2 linked regions of the Lepisosteus oculatus genome follow. The protein of the gene in region 1 interacts with the protein of each later gene in a pairwise test. Links are inferred from orthologs where the notes say so. Each region holds a gene or a part of one and is shown in the gene's direction. Other genes may lie near its edges. The genes, in order: slc38a7 and small COPII coat GTPase SAR1A.

What was found.
Region 2: the proteins of slc38a7 (region 1) and small COPII coat GTPase SAR1A interact in binary tests that used the Homo sapiens proteins (3 or more experiments, as listed by UniProt). The link is inferred for Lepisosteus oculatus from reciprocal best matches to the Homo sapiens genes SLC38A7 and SAR1A.

The regions. Positions count from the first base shown.
Region 1 is NC_090715.1:4,400,174-4,408,318, forward strand, and holds the start of slc38a7 (sodium-coupled neutral amino acid transporter 7), read left to right. Parts: upstream 1-5,037; 5' UTR 5,038-5,124; intron 5,125-7,887; 5' UTR 7,888-8,145. Other genes in the region: E3 ubiquitin/ISG15 ligase TRIM25, read right to left, coding at 217-368, 609-631, 1,540-1,788, 3,094-3,189, 3,666-4,232. UniProt on the Homo sapiens protein: Symporter that selectively cotransports sodium ions and amino acids, such as L-glutamine and L-asparagine from the lysosome into the cytoplasm and may participates in mTORC1 activation. The transport activity requires an acidic lysosomal lumen.
Region 2 is NC_090699.1:19,536,745-19,544,467, forward strand, and holds the start of small COPII coat GTPase SAR1A, read left to right. Parts: upstream 1-4,537; 5' UTR 4,538-4,665; intron 4,666-5,394; 5' UTR 5,395-5,409; coding exon 5,410-5,467; intron 5,468-5,770; coding exon 5,771-5,890; intron 5,891-6,150; coding exon 6,151-6,216; intron 6,217-6,678; coding exon 6,679-6,782; intron 6,783-7,572; coding exon 7,573-7,704; intron 7,705-7,723. Other genes in the region: inorganic pyrophosphatase, read left to right, coding at 390-475, 974-1,043, 1,551-1,590, 2,064-2,089. UniProt on the Homo sapiens protein: Small GTPase that cycles between an active GTP-bound and an inactive GDP-bound state and mainly functions in vesicle-mediated endoplasmic reticulum (ER) to Golgi transport.

The DNA.
Region 1 (8,145 bases):
GACTAATAAGTGAAACATTCCTAATTGCTACAAATAGAAGTGCAATTCGCACATGCCTCACTGCAGAAGTTTATGGACTTTTCAGACTGGTTTCACACAGACATTACAATCTGGACTGTCAGGCCCTGCTGCTGCTAAAGTGCAGCACAGTCCTGGACCACAGTTCCAATATCCTTCGTTACAGGACCTGGAATCCGGAAGTGTTTTCGAACTCACAGAGCACCCGGAGGGAGTCCCTGTCGGTCCCTGTGGTGAGGCTCACAGTGTCCAGCCTCCTGTCAGTCCACTCCTGCAGTCTGTCCAGCCTCATTTGGTCCAGTTCCCTGGGGGGGGTCAGCTCCTCCACTGGGCTGCACATCTGTCTCATACTGCGATGGGCACAAAGCGAAATCATGATTACACCACCCGCAGTACAGTTCAGCCCAGAGAAATAGCAGGATTTCCCAGACAGGCGTGTTCAATGCTTTATACTGGTCCAGGATCATCATTAGTACACAAATTATTGGGCTACATTGTTCACAGGCTCTTAGTTTGTCAGTAAGTTAGTTTGTTTCAGTACGTCTGAGAAAGTTTTATGTGCATGCTGACTGCATTTAATGAAGACTTACCTCTTGGATATCTTGCTGTATTCCTGTGGGAAACATTGAAAAAATCCAGTTAGAATACTTCTAGCAGAAACAGGAGTGCATCAGTGGGGTTGGTTCTAGTGCATTTTCTCCATTCTGAACGCTTGTCCCAAAAACTTCAATTCTAGTCATCACCCTTAGTACACCTAAGAACATCAGGGTCTGTAAATGCTACGAACAACACTTTGATTTATTGAGAAGGCTTTCTGCCACTGCCTCCCACCTTCAACTGACAGTGATCGCTTAATTCAACATGATATACATTTACCTATTCAAGATAAGAACAAGAAGGTCTGTGCTTTCTTATGCAAATGCCAGTTTTGCTTCACAAGAGTAACCTGACGTACAAAATAATTATTCTCTTTCATCCTAGCGTTAATCCCGCATCAGCAGGGTCCGCTTGTCGGCACGCCCGTCTCCATTTGGTGGTTTGAATCAAATCTTTGAGCTGATGTTGCCATTAAATGCGACCGAGAAATACTCCAACCGGCGTGTTGCACCGCCTGCCGTCAGAGGGGGTGGGGTGGGGGAGGAGAACAAAGTAACGTAGCCAATTCATAGAGGGGGATTATTAGGAGGCGTGGGAAATCTGGACAGGACACCGGGGTTACACCCCTACTCTTTTCGAGAAACACCCTGGGATTTTTAATGACCACAGAGAGTCAGGACCACGGTTTTACGTCTCATCCGAAAGACGGCGCTTGTTTACAGTATAATGTCCCCGTCGCTATACTGGGGCAGACGTGCAAAATAATGATTGACAACAGCAAAAACCACCACCACCTAGCTGGCACAAAAATGTTAAAGTCCGTGTAACCTCTTTCAAATCACAGCAGATCTCAGCTGGCTGGGAGCGCAAACTGCGTCGCTAGGCAAAATCTGAGCTCAAAGCCATCCCCCGGGTGTACCGTACCAGGACAAAGGCCTGGTCTCGGATCCGAGACGTCCCCCTGGTGTCGGACAGGCTCTCCAGCGCGCCCATGTTCTTCTGCGTGAGCTGCAGTGTGTCCTGGAGCTGCTCCAGCTGGGCCTCGATGTCGCCTAGAGCCCGGCTCTCCTCCCGGGACAGGCTCTGCAGGGCCAGCTGCTCCTCTGCGTCCAGGGCCGCTCGCATGGCCTCGTACTGCTGCTGGACATGGGCCCTGGCCTGGCTGACCGCTAACTGGGGGAACAGGAGCATGAGCCCTCTTAGCCGTCCCACTGCGGCTCAGTCACCAAGTCCATTAAAGCACACTGGACCAGACTGGACAGTGTCCATTAAAGCACAGTGGACTGGACCGGATTGGACCGAGTCCATTAAAGCACACTGGACTGGACTGGACCGAGTCCATTAAAGCACACTGGACAGGACTGGACAGTGTCCATTAAAGCACAGTGGACAGGACTGGACTGGACTGAGTCCATTAAAGCATAGTGGACTGGACTGGACCGAGTCCATTAAAGCACAGTGGACTGGACCGGACTGGACCGAGTCCATTAAAGCACACTGGACCGGACTGGACTGGACCGAGTCCATTAAAGCACACTGGACAGAACATTAATGTAGCTTTCTTGGCTCTTATACCTCACCCAGTAGCGAATGAAACTCCTGTCAGTGGCATCTCACTTCTCTTACAGTTAATCCAAAACTGTGATCAGGGAGCTCTGGAAGACTAGTCCCAGGAAAGACAGTCGGCAGCTTGTGTTATATATACAGCTTATGTTGTTAAAGGGGAACTGCAGTCCCAATTTCTCAGACTGGTTATTAAACCTCGGTAGGAAAATAAATTCACTGATGGTATAGATCAGATTTACAAATGTTGAATTTAGCACAAAATACTGAACTTTGTGAAAGTACTGTAAGTCGCCATGTTGTGGCAAAGCACTGGTCTCGCCACGGGCAAGAGTGAGAGTTCGCGATTTGCAATGGGAAGCGGCCCTTCCTGCTCACTAGTTTCTCTATTGACTAATGTGACGTGATGTACTCTCTGTGATGTGCGAGGGAATAAGTACAGGTTGTGCAGCAGACATTTCATGGCAGAAATGTTCCACCGTGATCTGCATGCAGTTAACAAGTGATATTTGTAGGTAAAACCGAGAAACTGAGAGCAACATCTCTATTGGATGAAGGGAGAGGTCTTCACAAGCTGCGTGTTTACCATGTAACAAGTCTGCTTCACATCACCGGAGGTTTTGTTGACTCATTCTAATTCACAGAACATGGCGCTGCTCAGACATGGACATTTAGTCTATTTTGTGATGTAAAATGGAGGTTTTTACAAGTTACTGTGTACATCTGACTTACATTGTGGTTTGCAAAGCACACATCAATGCTGATTCTCTCTAACCCCAAAATATAAATATAGCCTTGCAGGTCACCCCTGTATTTACACACTTGTAAGCTGTATATCTGGGCAGATGACACCTGGAGTGTCTGTCTTATCCACAGCGAGGACATAGTTTACCACAACACCGAGCTCTAACCCACCTGGATGTTCAGTTTCTTCTCCTGCAGCAAAGTAAGTCTGTCTTCGACAATCTGAACATTTTCCTGTATTTTAATCATCCCTTCTTTCAATTTCCCCTGAAAGGAAAAAAATGTAATGTTGTTATTAGTTGTAGTAATAGCAGCTGCAGTGATCGTAGCAGTATTGGCTGGATCAGAGTCTCTACTGTACAAACACTATAATGAGTATGTCAGGTGGGGAGCTGCGTCAGCATGCGTAGCCTGCAAAGGAACAAGTACAGGTTTATTCCATGCTGAAGAGAGAAGAGAGTAAACACAACGTTTCTTTCTTATCTTTTCAGCATGGAATAAACCATTACTTGTTCCTATAATGAGTATGTGTAGTTAAAATGGGGTTCGCACACAGTTTGAAGCTCAGCAAAGTTACTATATCAGGAGATTTGTGCTGTGACAGCAGTGTGTGCAACACATCCTGCTGCAGGCCCTCTGCCATCGGTAGTACCAGAAGGATCAGTGTATCATTCACGAGCCAGAGCAGTAGACACAGAGCCCAGGGACACACACACAGAGCTGCAGAGAATCCCGCCTCTCACCCTGAGCTCCTGCTCAGCCTCGCCCACGCCGACGCACTGGTGGCCCTTGTGCGCGCCGACGAGCGTGCACATGGTGCAGATGCACTCCTCGCACTCCCGGCAGTAGATCTTCAGCATCTCCTGGTGCTCCACGCACTTCCACAGAGAGATGTCGGCCGTGGGCTGCACCAGGGGGTGGCCCTGGAACACCGCCACCTCCAGGTGGATTTTCAGGTGCTCCGCGCACATGGAGGCTCCACACACCAGGCAGGTCTTCACGGCCGGCCGGCTGGAGGTGATGCAGTAGTTGCAGGGCACAGTGCTGCTGGTGGAGGGCCTCTCTGCCTCTGTGGCAGGCGCCGAGGGCTGCTCTCTCTCTCCTCCCAGGGCTGGCAGTTTCCTGTACTCTGCCCTGCACTCAGGGCAGTAGTAAGGGCCAGTCTGAGAGGTGCTCCACAGCTCCTGGATGCAGCCCTGACAGAAGAGGTGCCCACATCTCAGAGTGGTCGGCTGCCGGCATTCTCGGTGGCACAGAGGGCACTCCGGCTGTACGCCGAGCCTCTCTAAGGCTGCGCCCATTTTAGCCATTTTAGAGAACAAGGAAGAAAGACGAGGGCCTGGGAGGAGTTTACAGTTTGAAAATGAGAGACTCCACCTTTTCCCCCCTTTAGTTCTTAAAGGGGCAGAGCAGGAAAAAAAAATTACGGCGGAACAACTCACACAAGTACATTTTCATACTGTACTGTGTTCAGTACACGGGGTCGCGGCGAGCCCAGAAACCCGGCTGACAATGAACTCCCGGCAGGATGATAACCGGGCGGTCCAGTCCATTCTGAACACCCACACTCGTGCATTCACACCAAGTCGTTGTTATTCCTCTCTTCCTTTTCTCCACCTCCTTTTCTGCTGCAGAGATTTGTGTAATATTTATCCATTTTAAGAACTAGCAGAGGCGTATGGGTGGCACAGCTGAACTGAGTACCAAATTGCCTGCAACGCAGCTATTACGCGCACCGGTAAAATAAACGAGGGACTAAATAGCATTAAAAAAGTACAGACTATTTTCATAAACCTATCTTTACAAAAAAACCTGGGGGCTCTTTTAAATAATACTAAACGCAACTCAACATAACTCTACTTAATATCAATATAGAAACACGAATTAATCACATTTAGTTTTTTAAATGTTTTTGCCGTTATTGATAGTGAACAGTAATGCTTACAGTTGTACCCCGCGTTATGTTTCGACGGAGCTGCAACTACAGAAAAGTGTAATACTAATAAACTTAGCAACAACTAAGGAAACCTTCCAGGACAAGGAAAAAAAACCAACCTAACCCAAAACTACAGTTCCCATGATCCACCTGTCTCGCGTGAGGGCGAGCAGGTCACGTGACAATCACATGTCACTGCAGCTGGATCAGCAGGAGGAATCTGCCCCAGCAGCTACAATAAGGCGAGCGAGAGGAGATACCGGTTGGTGAGTGTGTCTGTTCAGTGAATGCCTTCGCTTACTAGCATTGTGTTTTCTTTCCAAACGTGCCTGTGAACTCACTGAATGTTACTGCGTTAAGGAATTTATTAGCTTCCGAGCGGCATGTAGGGAGTCACAAAAGGAATGAGGCGATGATAAGGTCGGTATCGATGCTGGGCGATTTGTGCATACACACAATCCGCAAGCCAAGCGTGCTAGTTTAAATGAGGTGTCTCCGAGCCTGGTCGTGGAGAGACAGTATTTCATTCTGACTCTCCTCTTAGCAAGCTGAATCGGCTGGTGTAGCTGATAAGCTTAACAGCTTCTCAGGTGCTGCTCCGACTCTGAAAACCGAAAGCACGCCGTCCTACCAACACCAGCATGCCCCCTGTCCGGCGTGAATGATTTCATTTACAGCGTGTGTATAGGTGAACTGAAATTCTAGTGAATATAGCACGTCAGACTGGTGTTTCCTTACCCGTATCTGAGGTTTGATTCACCTGTGATCAGTGAAAACATGAGGAATGTGGACACCGAGTCTCCCTCTGTCCTTTCCCTGAGGTCAATATGGTGACCCGTTGTGATTTAAGTTAGCATGTGCGAGGAAGGCAGGATTTATGCGAAAGGTGGGTTCAAGCCCTGCAGAGGTTCCTCACGTTTGCCCACTGACCCGTTTCAAAGTGAAACATGATTTGGATTTGAATTGCAGGAGATGGTTTCAGTCCCTCGAGTTGTTTTTGAGGACTTGAAGTAATAATGGCATACAGAGAATTAACATAACAAAGCCTTATTTAGAGTACTCCACGGTGATTTTTATTTTTTAATAGTGCATTACAAATAAAGCTGATCTTGATCATGAAATTTTACGGTAGCAAAACTGAAATATTTTTTTTTCCAGTAGTAAGCAATTATAGATCCTTTTACAGGCTTAGACCGCAGTACAGATTTTGAATCACAAGACCAAGAATATTACGACATGCAGTGACATGTATGCTGGTCAGTACAGAAGATACTGTTATTTAGTTTTCCAAGGGAAATAGTGGTGTCTCCTAGATCGGAGACCTTATTTGTTGAGGAGCAGTTACTATATAATTTTGAAAACCCGTCGTTGCTTTAATGAAGTTCCTTTCTATTTCTGTGTCGCGTAAGCAATGCCTTGTTTCTTCCTCGCCTCTTGAGGAACAGAGATCTTCAGAGCGGTGTGAAAATTTAAACAGGAACAAAGTACGAGAGAAAGAGCCCATATAAGACCGGCAAGCAGCTGACGTCATGTCAGGAATTCTGTCTTGTTCCCCATCTAAAGCGGAATAACTCAGACGCGAGTGTGAAAATAAAATGACTATTATCCAACAGCAGAGACGTGCAGAGTCCTTTTGGTGGGCAGTGGCTCAAAAGGGGAGAAGGTGCACTTTCCTGGGATTTTGTTACATACGAGTATCCTGGACACAGATCAGCGCCCGCTTGTGTTTCTGTGTTTTTTTAATTTGAATGGAAGTTTGGATGCGACCTCAGAGGCGTTAATCATATTCCCAACCTTGGCAAAATAAATGGTTGTCCATAATTGCTGATTATGTTTGATTAACAGACAAGATATTACACCCGCTCCACTGAATATATACTTTATTTTCCTGATATAACACAGCTTAATAAGAGGACAGAGCAAATGAAACAATCGGCATCTAATTACATATTCATCAAAACTGAAGTCGTACAACATTTACCGATGTAATCATTCTTGTGAGGCAAGACTCTTCTGTTATTGAGGCGCACATGGAATGTAGCCTAAGGAACTGGCTTTTTTGATGACCATTTTCCTGTCTGTACGCCGCTAGTTGTGACCCAGTTGTTGAAGCGATGTCCTCCCTAAATTCTCTCTCTTCTTTTTCTTTTTTTTCTGGAGCCATGTTCTCCTGTTTCTGTGACTGAACCTTATATACTGTATACAACAAAGACTATGCATGTTAGCTGTTTATGTCCAATACAAAAAGACTGGCTTGTCTACTCGGTGAACTCAGTTTTCTTAAGGAAATCTCAAATCTAGCTAAGCAGCCACGCAGACAATAACGTGGCGAATTCGACGGTTTGCAAACGTAGAGTAGGTGAATGAAAATAGTATTTTTTAAACACAAAGTGCTCAATACGACACCCTTGGAGTGTTACTTTTGTACAGTCCTTCTGAAAATCTGTGTATCTTCTCACCATTCAAAAATGTTTAACACGATCTCCACAGGTGGAGTAGCCTTCGTCGCTTCTCGCTGCTTTTTACAACCAACGGGAGGCGGGCGCTGGTGCTCAGATGAGATCGATTAGGTCCGACATTTTATTTTCCTAATGGGAGATTCGTACTAAATACAGAGGCAGAATCGTCAAGTGGCAAAAACCAAAAAAAATTAAATTGGTTGGACTTTTTTTCTACAAGCAAAAAGAGGCACTTGGGCCCATGAGGGCAAAGGGGCTTGAGCCAGTGTAGCCGCCCTGCTCTGCACATCCCTGTCCTAAAGGTTAGACCAGAAGTTTCAAGCTCAATTCTCGGAGGGCCTGAACGTCCTCTGAGTTTAATCCACCCGTGTGCTCGGTTACATAGTGGGTCTAATTGTTGAATTAGCCACAAAGATGGTCGTATTTCAGTGCAGGCTCTGGGGTGATTGCTGGCAACTGTACCTCACCTGAAGCGGTAGTCCTGGGGAATCAGCTGAGGAAGACCTTAAGGAAAGTCATACGTGTCTGATTTAAAGAACGGCGTGGTTAATTGACTAATTGGCCACGCAGGTTGGTGGGGAGCCCAGAAGACAGCAGGCCCTGCGGACCCTGAAACAGACTGTGCTGGGGGAGTGATGCAGGGGGCAGCAGCCGACACCCCGAGAGGATCCCCAGCGCCCGGTGGCCCGCAGTGAGCTCTTCCCGAGGGGCCACGTCTCTGACTCGCCCACCCTTCGCGGCCTCGCTCCTGCACCCACGTCGCAGACCGTTCTGGGCTCCGCGGTCACCCCAGGGGCGAACCTCCTCTGTGCGCGGGGAGCGGGAGGA
Region 2 (7,723 bases), on another chromosome or scaffold:
TATGAGTTGCTCTGATGAAACTGCATTACTTTCTCTGCTGGATGTGTTCGATTTCTATGTGGTGTTAATTAGGCAATCAGCAATCAAAGTCCCTTGTCACGCTCTTCTTACTCAGTGCCACAATTCCACTTCGCCATGCAGATTCACAGAATCAATCAATTATGATATAAATCGGTCATCACTGTAGAACTGTGTTAAGTGGGCTGCAAAGCTACAAATTTCAGCCGGGCATTTGGCATGATCAGTATTTGCTCCTGATGGTGGCCTGCTCTTGAAGCAGGGAGCTGATTGGAATCATTCTGTAATTGCAGTAGCCCCGAGGTGCAGCAGATCTAGGCATGTGGATGCTAATGCACATAAGGTTCAAATTTACGTTCCTTTGTTTGCAGGACTTTGCCATCGAGATCATAAAGAGCACCCATGGTTTTTGGAAAGCTCTGGTGTCTAAAAAGACGAGCAGTGGGGAACTGAGCTGGTGAGTTGCTAACATTTTGAAGTGGCCGAATTTTAAGGCCCAGGTTCTGCAAGCCCCGTTTACTAAAACAGATTTTTTTAAGAGAATTAAAAATATATATTTGAACTACATCTGTGCAGCAGTCTAGAAATAGACCAGCTGTGGATACCCAGGTTTGTAAAGAGCAGGTATTCATTCTGAAGTCATACACTGCACATATGAGTAGTTAGTACTTGTAACTAGTTAGTCTTGGTTTCACTTCAGATTGAAGTACGTTATGCATTAAAGATGTAAAAAATGCAGCGGAAAGAAAGCACTTTGCATTGAAATATTTGAAATGTCACTAAGAGAAACTAGGTCACGTAGTACTTATATGACAATAGAAAAACATTGACAGTCAGCCGTCTTCATAAGACGACTCAGTCTGGAAGCTGAAGCTTTGCTGGATTTATACTTTCATTTTAGTACTAACTGGAAGGTGTTAAAGATCTTAAATGGGATTTTTTTCTTTCACTACAGTACAAACACTTGCATCTCGGACAGTCCTTTCTGTTGCTCTGAAGCAGAGGCTCAGGCTGTTATTGATGCAGTAAGTTTTCTGCTTATATGCTGTTATGGTCCACACATTCTGTGTTATTGTAGTGGGTATTTTAAATGGTAATGTAACGCATACGGCTGACATTAGAGGTTGTGCGAGCCGGCTTCCCAGCGCGGTGACGTCACCGCCCTTCCCTGTGGATAGCAGGGACCACAGCTGTCGGGCTGACAGGAGATTTCCCTTTAGCTCAACTGGCTGGGTCTCTGTTGAGTGACGCTGGAGGCCTGGGTTCGAGTCTCCAGCAATGGGGGGGCCAACCTGAGGCGGCAGTGGCGAGGGCGCATACCCACGTGAACCCGAGAGCGTAATGTGATACCACTGGGTGATCTTATTTCATGATGCAGCTCTTGAAAGATCACTTTGACAAGTTCAGAATGTTTTGTTTATATCTCAATGCTTGTTTTAAAGGGTTTTTTTTCCATTCTGAACTTTAAGTAGTAAGTATGAAGTGTAAATGTCAGACTGTCTGATGTCACGTCTGTTTCCTTGCTGTTGTAGACCTGTCCTTGTGGAAATCCAGAACCTCTTCCATCAACAGGTGTGTACAATTCATTCAACTTTTTGAGGATTTTTTCTATTTTTTGTTAAAGGATATGACTAAAACTGGCCTCTTACTTTGACACAAAATACCCAGTTGTTGTAAAGGGGAACTTTCACACTTTTATGGTCAAACTTCAGATACAATTGTCTTGTTTTTTTGTTAACTTTTCAAAGTAGTTCAGGAAACTTTAAAAAGGCTGATATCTATTCCCAGATTTTTCACAATTGAGAATAAGGAGATGCAGACCCATATGAAATACTGTGGCTATCTGTGAATTGCATTTCTAATGGCCAGGAATCCCTTCCCTCATGCACTAAGTTGGGGGGTTGAAATCTTAATTTAATGCCAGCTGTATTAAATTGTTAATTTTATGATGGAGTGAATCAATCAGATAAAATACTCCAACCATGTGATGATTTACAGCAACAAATGCACTTCAAAATTTGGTTTAAAATACTTTTTTTTTGCAGTGGACAAGTGGCACTATTTGGGATAGCAGTGATCCGAGAGGAATACCTGAAGGGTGGATCAGAGCTCTTTGTCATCTGCCTAGAAACTGTACTTGAATCAGTCTTTAAATATTAGGTTTTATGTATTTAAGCATATCAAAAAAGTAGGCAATGGTGGAAAATAACATAATCTCCCATTAATATCAAAGTTAGGAAGACATGAATGAATCAGTCACAATAAAACTAGCTTGTGTTTTACTTTATTTATGAAAGCCTTTAAGACTTGAACTCTTTTGCTATAGATTTCCAATCATTGTAATTAATCTGTTAAAACCCAGGAGCTGCAGCTGCAAGCACTACAATGTTGCTTTAATAAAACCTTTCCTCTTCGTAAGACATCTGTTTTCTGTGTTCAGACTGTTCTTCTGTATTCATCTGCAGTACTGTTAAAAAATGCTACCCTTGTAGCAGAAGTGTCACCAACTTGTAGTCTGATCTCCTAGATCTGTAATGCTAAGATCGGCTGACCCGGTCGGGATGGGAGACCTGCTGTAATGACAATAGTCCAGCAGGTGGCGCACTTTCCCCCAGACCAGATTTTACATTTCATTGTGACCAGGACCACCATGTTCAAATAAGACAGATAAGATTAGATTTTATTGTCCCCTGAGGGAAATTTTATATGGACACCCAGCACTCCTGTACATTTAAATAGAATAGAATGCAAAAAAAAAGAAGAAAAACATTGCACATTATACTATTACAAAAAAAGAAAAACATTGCACATCATTCTACTGCACAGTATAACACATAACAACATGTAACATTTATAACACATTACAAAAACATATTGCAGTCAAGTGGGTTGTAAGAGTCCAAATTGTGTTTATCCTTGACATTTGTGTTACAGCTTTAATGGATAGTGGGAAAAGGAATGTTTGTATCTGTCTGACTTACATTTGGGAATGGCTGTGGTGTATCACAAAGGAGGGTGCTGAAGTTCAGTGGTAGGTGAGGTGGACCTTTTCTAGGGGGTCAAACACGTTAGTCTCCATTGGGATGAGCAGGATTATATAATCATGAACGTTATTAAAGGTCATTTGAGGGTTATTGCTGCTCTGGAAGCAGAACAGTTGCCTGAGGTAAACGTAAAACTGAGGTCCTGAGTCTCTGTGGTCATTAAAAATCCCAGGGCGTTTCTCAAAAAGAGGAGGGGTGTAACCCCGGCATCCTGGCCAAAATTCCCCATTGGCCCTTACCAATCATGGCCTCCTAATGTTCCCCATCTATGAATTGGCTTCATCACTCTGTTCTCCTCCCCACTGATAGGTGATAAGAGTTCTGGCGCACTACGGCTGCCGTTGCATCATCCAGGTGGGGCTGCACATTGGTGGTGGTGGAGAAGGGGAGTCCCCATTACCTGTAAAGCGCTTTGAGTGGAGTGTCCAGAAAAGCGCTATATAAGTGTTAGCAAATATTATTAAACATATGACAGCAGGAGCAGTAGTGTGCCTTGCAGGAATACCACAAATCCAGGTATCTGAGTTAATGTATTATAGTCCAACAGATTATCTGCTGAATACCCGTTTTCATGAACTCAACATGTTGAGAGAGAGACAATTTTCCTTCTCTGCTAACTGGAGAAGGAAATGCTTTTGTATTATTTTTTTTTTAGAATTTTTTCAAAAGAGTTGGTGACAAAGCGGTCTCAGTTTTGAAGCCCAATTATCATATTTTTATTGTACAAAGGGTAAAATCACAGTTTAAATCGAGGGCAAATTTTGAAAATTGAACTGTCACATCAATCTGGTTTTCGAGTGTCCTAATTTTACTGAACACGTTTTTTGTAAATATACTTTATTCTTTGCTGCCCTCTAGTGCTTTTAAGAATTACGTAGCCACACAAGAATCTGCTGCTAGCGTGAGCGAATAAAATACGAATTCGAAACTCGATACCAAGAGTTAATGTAATAATGTATAAGGGTCCAGAATAACCATAAATGGAGCCGTAATACCGCATATAAAAAGGGCAAAGGTGGAGCTATTTTCCTCTGTAAATCAGAACTTTCTTATCGTTCTAATCGGCATTTATGTTTTACAGGTCGAGAGATCGATCTAGAAATTTGGAAATCTAGAAGCACGTTGGCCAAAAACATCCAAGTACAGACTTCCAGTGCTAAATAATTTTAAACAGGATTTCGTGTTAATTAGTCCACCATCCCTGCAGAGTAAACACACATCTTGTTAGCGTAAGATAAGTACATTCTTAACATTCTTAAAAAGTGACATTACACTTAATTTGTTATACAGGCTGAAGAACCTCATACATGTTATGCACATGTCATTAGACATTTCTGCAATTTCACATTTCTTGCAAAAAGTATATGATCACTTGTAAGATACGTAGAAATGAGAAGAGATTCGTGAATACCATACACCGCGAGCGCGCAAACATCGTCACCGGCGCTTGGCGGAAGTGATGTCATGGTAAGAGGTACCGGAAACTCAATGCGTTTACGCGGTTCCGGTGTTCAGTCGGTGGTAGAAGAGAGTTCGGCGAAAGGAGAAAGCGGTACGGTTCGGTTTTGAACAGACAGCGTTAAAGAGAAACGGGCACGCTGAGGTAAGGAGGTGACTTTAACGAATTTACAAAAGTTTCTATTCGAAGAAGCTTGTTCGAATGTGTTTGGGTGCTAGGCCCGAACCCAAGTGCTGAAGCTGGGGAAAAGTGATTCGGTTCCGATTTCAACTCTCGGCCCGGGCCGTATATCGGTGATGGAGTAGCGAAATGACGCAAAGGAGAAGAGACCTCCTGCTGTCACGTATTTGACAAGAATGGAACCAAAGTCCCCCGACCCCCACCTTGGTTGAAGGGAAACGAACTGTCTTTGGTGGTGATCAAATCTAAACTTACGTGGCTTAAATACCTGTAACTGTAAACCGGAGGGTCGAGTGCTGGGAATCGCGCTCGGCCATTCCCGTGTCGCTGGCTCCGCATATTTACACTTCAGTGACAAGCATAGCTGCCTCTGCACGTCATTTATGGAATTGCATGTCGAGAAGGGCATTTAAGTAGCCTCTGACGCCTTATGTTCCAGACGAAACCACACTGGACAGCAGCGGAGTATTAAACGGTTGTAGTCGACTGGCTGCCGGTGTTGTCCTCGCCGATGAAGCGGTCCCTCTGAACAACTTGAAACTTTGTGCCGCTAAGAGACGATTAAGTTAGGATAGTGTTTGGTATTTCAGACGTACAGGACGTTCATCTGTGGGGGAAAAACGCAACATGATCTGTCGTGTAACTGCGAAACAGGTTGCTGTCTTTTCACTTAAAACTTCTGTTTTATTTCAGGTGACAACAACAGAAATGTCATTTATATTTGATTGGATCTATAAAGGTTTTAGCAGCGTGCTACAGTTTCTAGGTAATGTATCACACTTGTTGTTTCCTCCTGTCTATGAGCAAAGTAAACATTATCTTTATTATTGGCCTGAAAAAGCTTTCATTTCTTGATTCCTCAGCTGTATTTGTCCTTCCTAGTTTTTAGGCACTTGTGTATATAAATGCAGTAAAACATTATGGGTTGTAAATGGTTGATTGGAGTGAATAGTGTAGGTGTATATGTAGAATACTTTTCAAAACTCCTATATTGCTTCTATCCTAGTTTTATTTAGAAGATATTAGTTTTTCTTTTCAACCAGATGTTTTTTTTTTAATGTCTTTTCAGGTTTGTACAAGAAATCTGGGAAGCTAGTTTTCCTCGGCTTAGATAATGCTGGCAAAACAACATTATTACATATGCTTAAAGATGATAGGCTTGGGCAGCATGTTCCAACATTACATCCAAGTAAGTACTTTCCCTCTTTGTGTTTTTTTCTTTTAGTAGTATTGGCAGTTTTTAGAATGGATGTTTAATTTAAAAGCTAACTGAATTCATAGTAGAAATGATATTTGGTCCGTGAAACCTAATTTATGCTTTTGTAAATATGATATGAAGACTAAATGTTTTGTTCTTCCAAGCATTGCTGTAGTATAGTGTAAACAAAAATCATTTCCATCAGTCTTATTGCTGTAATGTAATGAAATTTTCCACTCTTTTTATGATAGCCTCGGAAGAGTTAACAATTGCTGGAATGACGTTCACAACATTTGATCTTGGTGGACATGCACAAGGTAAGAAATTCATTTCTGATGCAATTACATTTGTTTACTTCCCCTTTTAAGTAAAAAAACAGGTGCCATAAAATGAATCAATTAGCAATGACTCTGATGCACCTGTAGTGCTAGGAGCACAACCTTGAAGCAGTGAAAAATGTGCTTTCAGGATGGTGTTGTTCCAAAATGTGCGTAGCAACACATAAGGTGAGCGAAGGTAGAAAATATTGGTGTCTATTACAATGTCATTAGCTGAAGGAGTGTTAATGTTACCAGCTGATACTGGCAGCTGCTTTCTGTAGTTTAGAGATTTCTTTTTTTTATTGGAATGATTGTATGCTGATTGTCCTGGTACTTTTATGATATATAATGTAAAAATCAGTATATAATATTCCATAAGAAAAGCTCACTCATATTAGTGTGATTTACCTCTGCATTATACCACTTTTGCAACAGTTGTTTGTCATTTCTTCTACACAGCGAGAAGAGTCTGGAAGAATTACCTCCCAGCTATAAATGGAATTGTCTTTCTAGTGGACTGTGCAGATCACCCTCGCCTTCAAGAATCAAAAGTAGAGCTTGACGTAAGGTCATAAGTTGTTTGCATAATTGTGATAGTACTGGAATCTTGAGAAGATAATTTTGAAGTGCTTTAATTTGGGGGGGGGGATCAGATGTTGAAAATTTTCACAATTATTGTATTTTTAAGCCATACAAAACATGAACATTACTGTCCTTTACTGTAAAACCAGCAGTATTTCTATTGATACGAAAACACTACACAAGGCATGTAAATCGTAATTATGTTTTCTAAGCAAGAAAATTACATTCTCTGCTTTACAAAGTAGTGTACTTCGCACACTGGAAGATATGACTGAATGTTCGTCTTTGGGAAGATAAGCAGCATGACCTGCCAGCAGAAGTTTTGCATATAAACACTAGATACTAATTAACTAGGGCATGTAATTATCAGCCTGAAGTCGTAATGATTTGTGTAACATATTTTTGGTATTGAGTGTGATATTTTGAGCTGTCCTTTCCAACAATGAAAAAGAACATAGTTATAGAACCCATAATGGGAGAGAACATTTTCAAGAAAACCAATAGGATGTTTAAAATATACAAACGTCAGATTAAACTTGTGTGTTTTATCCGTGCTATGTTATAGAGTGCTTTGGTACAGTGGTTAAATAAAGTATTTGTGTGTTATTTTAAAATGGTTGTAAAAGCTTCTTATTGAGATTTTAGCCCTGTAAAGCAAGTAACAGCACATTTAAAAGAAAGTTAACTTTTGTACAGCAGAATGGAGTTTATAGTTGTGTAGGACATAATGTGTACAAGGTTGTACTGCTCATTATTCGTTTTCATTAACAGGCACTATTGACAGATGAGACAATCTCCAATGTGCCAGTCCTTATTTTGGGCAACAAGATAGACCGTCCAGAAGCCATCAGTGAAGAGAGACTGCGAGAAATCTTTGGTCTTTATGGACAGACAACGGGAAAGGCAAGATTAATTGTTTTAT